2 linked regions of the Mus musculus genome follow. The protein of the gene in region 1 interacts with the protein of each later gene in a pairwise test. Links are inferred from orthologs where the notes say so. Each region holds a gene or a part of one and is shown in the gene's direction. Other genes may lie near its edges.

What was found.
Region 2: the proteins of Ndor1 (region 1) and Ciapin1 interact in binary tests that used the Homo sapiens proteins (3 or more experiments, as listed by UniProt). The two-hybrid records come from large-scale screens. The link is inferred for Mus musculus from reciprocal best matches to the Homo sapiens genes NDOR1 and CIAPIN1.

The regions. Positions count from the first base shown.
Region 1 is NC_000068.7:25,245,249-25,249,055, reverse strand, and holds part of Ndor1 (NADPH-dependent diflavin oxidoreductase 1), read left to right. Parts: intron 1-43; coding exon 44-151; intron 152-309; coding exon 310-424; intron 425-570; coding exon 571-720; intron 721-815; coding exon 816-934; exon of another isoform or gene 935-1,001; coding exon 1,002-1,096; intron 1,097-1,201; coding exon 1,202-1,346; 3' UTR 1,347-2,250; coding exon of another isoform or gene 2,251-2,347; 3' UTR 2,348-2,460; coding exon of another isoform or gene 2,461-2,799; 3' UTR 2,800-2,821; coding exon of another isoform or gene 2,822-2,872; 3' UTR 2,873-2,906; coding exon of another isoform or gene 2,907-3,281; 3' UTR 3,282-3,807. UniProt on the Homo sapiens protein: NADPH-dependent reductase which is a central component of the cytosolic iron-sulfur (Fe-S) protein assembly (CIA) machinery.
Region 2 is NC_000074.6:94,821,112-94,824,918, reverse strand, and holds part of Ciapin1 (anamorsin), read left to right. Parts: intron 1-1,187; coding exon 1,188-1,266; intron 1,267-1,711; coding exon 1,712-1,822; 3' UTR 1,823-3,807. UniProt on the Homo sapiens protein: Component of the cytosolic iron-sulfur (Fe-S) protein assembly (CIA) machinery required for the maturation of extramitochondrial Fe-S proteins.

The DNA.
Region 1 (3,807 bases):
TGTGGTGTGCACACCACCACACAATAAGACTCCATTTATCCAGGTGCTATGCGACTTTCCACATACAGCGGGTGCCATTCCTCCAGACTACCTTTTGGACCTAATCCCTCGGATCCGCCCACGGGCCTTCTCCATTGCTTCCTCCCTACTGGTGAGGGACTCTGAGTAAAACTGAAGACTGGCTGAAAAAACTGGGACTGGGTAGGGCGTGTGTAGATGGGGGCTGCCTCTCTACCAGGGACTGTCCCTCCTGGGGTTGGTAGTAGGCAGGAGTGCTTTAGCAGGGCAGTGCCATCACTGTGTCCATAGGCTCATCCCAGGAGGCTACAGATCCTTGTGGCTGTGGTAAAGTACCAGACTCGTCTGAAGGAGCCCCGCCATGGTCTCTGCTCCTCCTGGCTAGCATCCCTGAATCCTGGGCAAGGTAAATCCATAGTTCTGGGGCTCGGGGTTGGGAGAGAGTATAGCCTCAAGTGCCCATCTTCCCCTGTTCCTGCTACCCCAGGAGCTCAAGCACTTAGCACCTTAGCACTGTCTTTTGACCTCCTACATGCCATTTCCCTTCTGCAGCAGGACCTGTCCGGGTGCCTCTGTGGGTACGTCCTGGGAGCCTCGTGTTCCCAAAAACACCAGACACACCCATTATCATGGTGGGGGCTGGAACTGGTGTGGCCCCCTTCCGAGCAGCCATTCAGGAACGAGTGGCTCATGGCCAAACTGGTGAGTACTGGAGCTCCAAAGCAGTGTGACCTGACCACTGAGCCTGGTCTAGCTGAATTTCTGCATCCAGACGGGGACCGCCCTATGTACCCCAGGAAACTTCTTGTTCTTTGGCTGCCGCCAGCGGGATCAGGACTTCTACTGGCAGACTGAATGGCAGAAGCTAGAGCAGAAGGGCTGGCTGACCCTGGTTACAGCCTTCTCCCGGGAGCAGGTGAGTATATTCAAGTTAGATAGGACAGGAGTTGGGATGGCTGAAACTTAGCCTCTGACACCTGCAGGAGCAGAAGGTATATGTGCAGCACCGGCTTCGAGAGCTGGGGCCACTTGTCTGGGAGCTGCTGGATGGCCAAGGTGCCTACTTCTACCTAGCAGGGTGAGCAAACTTGGGAATGTCGGGGGGTGGACCAGCCTTTAGGGAAGGGTAGTAGTAAGGGTTGGGAATCGGGATCACTGAGCTTTCTGAGGCCTGCCTTTCCAGCAATGCTAAATATTTGCCTACGGATGTTTCGGAAGCCCTTATGTCCATTTTTCAAGAAGAAGGACGACTCTCCACTGCAGATGCATCTGCCTACCTTGCTAGGCTCCAGCAGACACTGCGCTTCCAGACTGAAACCTGGGCCTGAGGAGCCACTTGCTAGCTCACACTCACATTAACAGCTGCATTGGGTAGCCTGCTGGAGTCTAGAAGGCCCATTGTTACCTCTTGCCTTCTAATCCCAGAACACTGGGTAGACCCACAGTTTCGCTTTTTTGGTCCAGCTGACCAGGAGGGCAGTCCTTGCGTACAGCCAAACTCAGTGGAACCCAGTGTCCCATACGTAGGCCCAGCCCCGGTGCAGCTAGAACTCCTGGTTTTCTCTCAGACCCCTTCATTCTGCCCCAAATCTGCATTTATAGTCCCTACCACCAAGGGCCTGCTAAGCCCTCCAAAGGACATAGAGCTGTGCGGGCTGCACTGCCCGTCTGACCCCGTGCTATTCCCATTAGTCCCATAACACCTGTGCAGCTCAGCTCAGTTGAAAAGCCACCAGGGACCAAGTCTCCTGAGCATTGGGAATGGGCAAATCTGTCTGTCTGCAGGTCCATAAACATGAGTTAACTGCCTGGGTAGCCGCTCACTTCTCTTTTATTGCTTCTAGATTTGAGAGTGGTGGTTGGGACATGGATTATCTGCATCTGCTAGTGGTGGGCAAAGAGCCCTCCAGGGCATGAGCACAGGCTTGTACTGACAGTTTAGCCAAGCTAGTCCCCTTCTCTGATGGCCACACAACTCAGCCAAGCTCATATACCCTTCTCTCATGGCCAAGCAGAGAGGGCTTAGAGAGCTATTTATTTGGAAGTCCCAGCCAAGAGCCAGCATGCACTATTCTTTCCAAAGAACTGAAAGAATGATCAGGTGGAGGGGGTGTGATTTGTGTTGGCCCGCCCATGGGCAGGGCCTCCACTGCTGGGAAGGAAACCCTGTTGGAGCAGTCAGACAGGTCCAAGGGCAGCTGGGCGCTAAGGAACCTCGGTTCTGTCTGTCAGCTTGTGGAAAACAGGGACCAGACCAACACCACTCTTAGGCCTCAGATACCAAGAGTTGACATGCTGCGGGGACCCAAGTGAAGCTTACTTCCAGTGAGGTCAGCAAGCCGAAAGGGTTATCTAGAGGTTAGTGCTCAGGTGGATGGGTGGAGGCCAAGCTCTGCCTGGCTCCTGAGGGCCACACCTTCATATCTACAACAATCCCTGCAGTCATCCTGGAGTCTCCGTCTACGCATCCTGACCTCTGTTCTAGTGGTAACCTGGGACCTAATGACACCAGCTCTGTGTCTACTAGTTCACCCGGTGCTTCTCTGGGTCCTGAGCTCTTGGACCCACTGTGCCAGCTACCAGCAGATGGAGAGGATGATCTCAGGGCCCCTCTGGGTGCCAGAACTCCAGACAGTAAACCGGAACTGGAGGCCAGAGACCCATCCGCTGCCAGGGCCCTGGAGTCAACTGTGGAAGAGCAGGAAGGTGAGGGGCAGGTTGTGGAGGAGGAGGAATGTCCCATCTGTGCTGAGCCTTATGGGCCTAGTGAGCACCACCTGACCCTGCTAAACTGTGGTCACAGCCTGTGTGTGGGCTGCCTACACCAGCTGTTAGGCATGACCCCCAGAGCTGACCTGGGCCGTGTGTGCTGTCCACTGTGTCGTCAGAAGACACCTATGCTAGAGTGGGAGATCTGTCAGCTGCAGGAGGAACTGCTTCGAGCTGATGGACCCCAGCGCCCAATGCGGACTGCATCCGTCACAGCCCTGCATCCTGGCCCTTGGCCCTGGGGTCCCTTAGAGCACCGCTACCAGCTGCGCTTCCTGGCAGGGCCTGTGGGAGGGCGAAGCTGTCTCCCCTTCCTGCCCTGCCCTCCCAGCCTAGGCACCTGGTTGTGGGCACTACGGGAACGTGGCCCCTGTGCCCGCCGCTTGTCACTGCTGAGCCTACTGGTCCTTGAACTGCTCGGGCTGGTGGTCATCTTCATGCCGCTCCTTTTACTAGGGGTGCTCTTCATGCTGCTAGACCGTTCCACCCACTAAGCAGAGCCCAGAATGCTGGCCAAGCTTTGAAGTCCATGCACGCTTGGATTCTGGTAATCAGCAAAGACTTGTTATCACCAATACCAAGACTATACATGCCTAAGAGCCTACGCCAGCCAGAGTGCTTACACACCCTTGCAGCCTAGATATTAGCTAAAGCCAAGGACACAAGGACAGCCTCTGAAGGAGCTTGGCCTGGCAGAAAGAGTTGTGAAAAGAACCCTATGTGCTTGCCATGGGCGGTCATCTCACTGGCCACAGGCAGAAGCTGGGCTATACCGCCAGCTCGTAGTCCAGCTGGTGAGAGTGGACACAAATGTGTGATTCCAACAGTGATTCTGTTTATCCTGAGATCTGTTCATTGGAGAAGGCAAGGGCTGCAGACTCTCACCTGCACCAGACAGAAGCTGGTGTGTGTCCTGAAGGCAACAGCAGCAGCCACAGTAACTACCAGGAGAGGCCTGCACTGCACAAGCCAGCCTTCAAAAGCTCCCACCCAACCTAAGCTACTCTCACCAGAGAAGGT
Region 2 (3,807 bases), on another chromosome or scaffold:
GCCTATATAGCAAGACTGTTTTGAAAACTTTTAAAATAAATAAAAACAAGCTGATCATATAGGTGAGCATCTAGGTGTATTTGTTTATTCACTTTTATTAAAGGGAGCCTAGCTAGATGTTGAGGGTGGGAAAGCTCTTAAGTTTCAGAGCCTTGTGTCTTCTACAGGGATAAGGTTGCTCAGGGCAAGTCTTCCTATGTAAGCTACCAGTTTTTCCGCACCTTAAGGCTCAGGAGGAGGTGGGAGTGGTGGTTTGTCTGTCAAGCTGAGTCTTGCTGTTTCCCTAGTTTCCAATTGTGTACTGCTGTTGTTTTTGTAGTGCTGGGGGGAGTTTGAAAAGCGTGAAATAGTAGGTCCCTGTGTCACTCTGTCCTAACACAGAAGCTTTGCATTGGTATTTCTACTAGTGCCAGACAGGCTTGGCTTGTTTATTCATCCACTGGTGGTTATTATGGCTCTTTGCTTGTGTGTTTGTTTGTTTATACTTTTTAAAAAAGATTTATTTATCATTATATCGAAGTACACTGTAGCTGTCTCCAGACACACCAGAAGAGGGCATCAGATCTCATTACAGATGGTTGTGAGCCACCATGTGGTTGCTGAGATTTGAACTCAGGACCTTTGGAAGAACAGTCGGTGCTCTTAACTGCTGAGCCATCTCTCCAGCCCTATTTTTGGTTTTGGTTTTGGTTTTGTTGTTGTTGTTGTTGTTTTGTTTGTTTGTTTTCTGAGATAGTCTCACACTACAGTTCAGGCTCACGGGGAGCTTGGTGTTGTAACTTTGCTGACCTCTCCAGTGCTGGGGTCTCAGCCCTGCACCACCACCTTTGGCTTTATTCCAGTTTGCCAACATCAAATGAGAGGATTTCAAGTGAAAATCCAGGTTTTCTTGTGTTTAATTATTTTTGGTATGTTTGTGGTGCTGGGCATACAGCCCAGGGTCCTACACCTGCTAGGGAAGTGCTCTACCACTGGGCTCAGCTCCTTCTGCTCATGAATTTGGGTCTGCTTCCCACAGAAGTCAGCAGGACAGCTCCCCTATCCTTCTCCACTCTGCTGTCTTCCCCAGCAGCCTCACCCCTAGCCTGCTGCTTCTGTAACACTTGACTTGACATTATGTAAAAAGAGAAAAGTCTTAGGTGTATGATAGCACTGTAAGAGATTTGATGCTTCTGTTGGGTCCCCAGCACCTGTGGCCTCGCAGAGGAACTGGAGCGGGAGCAGTCCAAGGCGCAGAGCTCTCAGCCCAAGTCAGCCTGTGGAAATGTACGTACTGCACCTCCTGACACCCACCAACCCCTGACCCTAACTGCACACAGAGTAGCTGATCTTAAGGGATTTGTCACTGAGTGTTGTCATAGTGGGCCACGAGTGCAGCTGTAATGAGAAGAGGTTATCCCGAGAGGGAATCGGCATTCTCATGCCAGGCTGACAGTGGCTATCAGTTTTTATTTTGGCTGACCTTGCTGTGATCTCCTGTAGCAGAGGCTGCCTGAGCTACCTCTCCTCCGTCCCATGGGCTTCCACATAACTCAGGCAGGCCATAAACCTGCCTCAGCCTCCCAAGTACGTCAGTACAGCTGTGTTACCAACTCTCGTGGCTGGCGCCCGTACTGACTGACGTTTCATAGAACAAGAGACCCGTGGGTGTACGCAGGTGCCCTTTCCCTTTGGCCCTTAGCCTCTCTGTGTGACTGTTGTTTCTCCACAGTGCTACCTGGGTGACGCTTTCCGCTGTGCCAACTGCCCCTACCTCGGGATGCCAGCCTTCAAGCCTGGCGAGCAGGTGCTCCTGAGCAATAGCAATCTCCAGGATGCCTAGGAGGGACCTCAAGCCCACACACCTCCTCCTCCAGCAACTCCTGTCCTCAGCTCCTCCCACGGCCTCCTCCCACCTCTGGATTCAGGCGCTCTGAAAACACTCACAGGGAGAGGCTTGCAGCCGAGCGAGCGAGCGAAGCTGCTGTGGGCAGTGGGGTGGGGTGCTGCTGTGTCTTGAAAGACCAAGGATTGAGGGGACCTGTCTCTTAGTGTTAGGGGAAGAGGGTGGATGCGCCTAAGGAACTCTGCTCCTGGTGTTACAGTGCTGTCCCTCTCCACCCTTGAGTATTTATGCTGAGTAAGCTCCAGGCTCCGCTCAGTGATGCTGCCACCTGCTGGACTTCCTCAGGATGTAGTTCTTGGAGCCATGGGTTAGCTGTCAAAGGGCCTCAGGGGCACCAAAGAAGTCACTCCCCCAGTTGTGATCCATCTTGTGTCCCTCTGCCTTTCTCACCTCACCCCGTTTTACTGTAGTGTTGTATCTGTGTCCTGTTGTCATTTCTGTTAAATGGTATTAAACTTTTGTGTTTTTATGTCTCCCTTTTACTGTGAGTGTGTCTTTGTGTCTGTGTGTGGTAGTGAAGGGTTGTCTGTCACCCATCCACATTCAGCTTGGACTATGAAAATTGTTTTTGAAGAAGTCATCGTCACACAGGAGTGGGGCCAGAACTGCCCACTAGCTAGGACTAGGATCTGTCTTCACCTCCTGTAGGAGCCAGGTGGAGAATGCAGGTTAGGGCAGGCTGGACCAGCAGCAGGAAGTATCAGAGCAGGAGGCCCTCTTCAGTCTCCCTCCTGCCTCTGCCCACATCCCTGTTATCCATCATGCCTGCTGTTACCTGTCCTTGTTACTTGATCTGCTTAGCTAGCTTCTGCTGCTATGGGTGTGGTGAAAAGCCCTTTGAGAAGCAGAATTTCTGTTGACCCCAGTGACCCTTGCCTTGTGTTACCTCCCCTCCAATTACAGCAAACCCTGAAAACCTCTGGTGTTTCTCTTCTGAGTGGAAGAGGCTTTGCTAAGTGAAAGGGTTTTACAGATGGACCCACAGTCCCTGCTGATTAAAGTTAATTAGACGGGAGATTATCCTTGGCCCATTCTCTTGATCCTTTAAAAGAATTAGAAAACAAAGGCTTTGTTTTGCTGCCTGTGCACAAGCTAGTGGTGAAGTTTTAGGAGGTGTGTACCTCTTAGCCCTACTAAGAAAGTGGGAGCCAGGCAGTGGTGGTGTATGCCTTTAACCCCAGCACTTGGCAGCCAGAGGCAGCCGGATTTCTGAGTTCAAGGCTAGCCTAGTCTACAGAGTGAGTTCCAGGACAGCCAGGGCTACACAGAGAAACCCTGTTTTGGGGGGAAAAAAAGGGTGGTGGTGGGGTGGTGGTGGTTACAGCCCCACAGCAAGGAGCTTGGTTCTGTCATCACTGTGCCAGCTTGAAAGAGGACTCGCTTTCAAATGAGAACACAGCCTGTGCCTGAATTAATGGCTGGGATCCATGGATGGAACACTTGGGTATGCACAAAGCCTTGTTTTTGATTCCTAGTACCAAAACCAAAAAAGGTTTTCTCAGGCCAGAGCAATTGACAGAAAAGCCAAGATAATAAGTGGGGGTGTGGCTGACTGATTTGTCACACAGCAACAAAAACTCAGCCCCAGATGGGTTTAGGTTTAGCTGACCAACTGGCCCAGTCACAGACCTGTTGTCGGCCTCTACTGCAGTTACCTAGGTGAGGGACAAACACTTGAGCCTCTAGGAGGAGGAGATGCTCCTGGACCAGAGCTTCCTTGTGGGCTTAGTAAACGCCACAAGCCCTTCAGACCTGCTTGTTGATTGCTAGCTATGACTGGCACGAAGGATAATGATTTGGTTGGCTTGGTTAATAGGGCCCTGGCGTCAGTCTTTGTGTCCTTCCACAAGGGCCAGAAGGAGCATATCCAGTTTAGTCAGTCCTAGGCTGGTGGAGAGAATCCTTGCCCAGAGCACATGTAG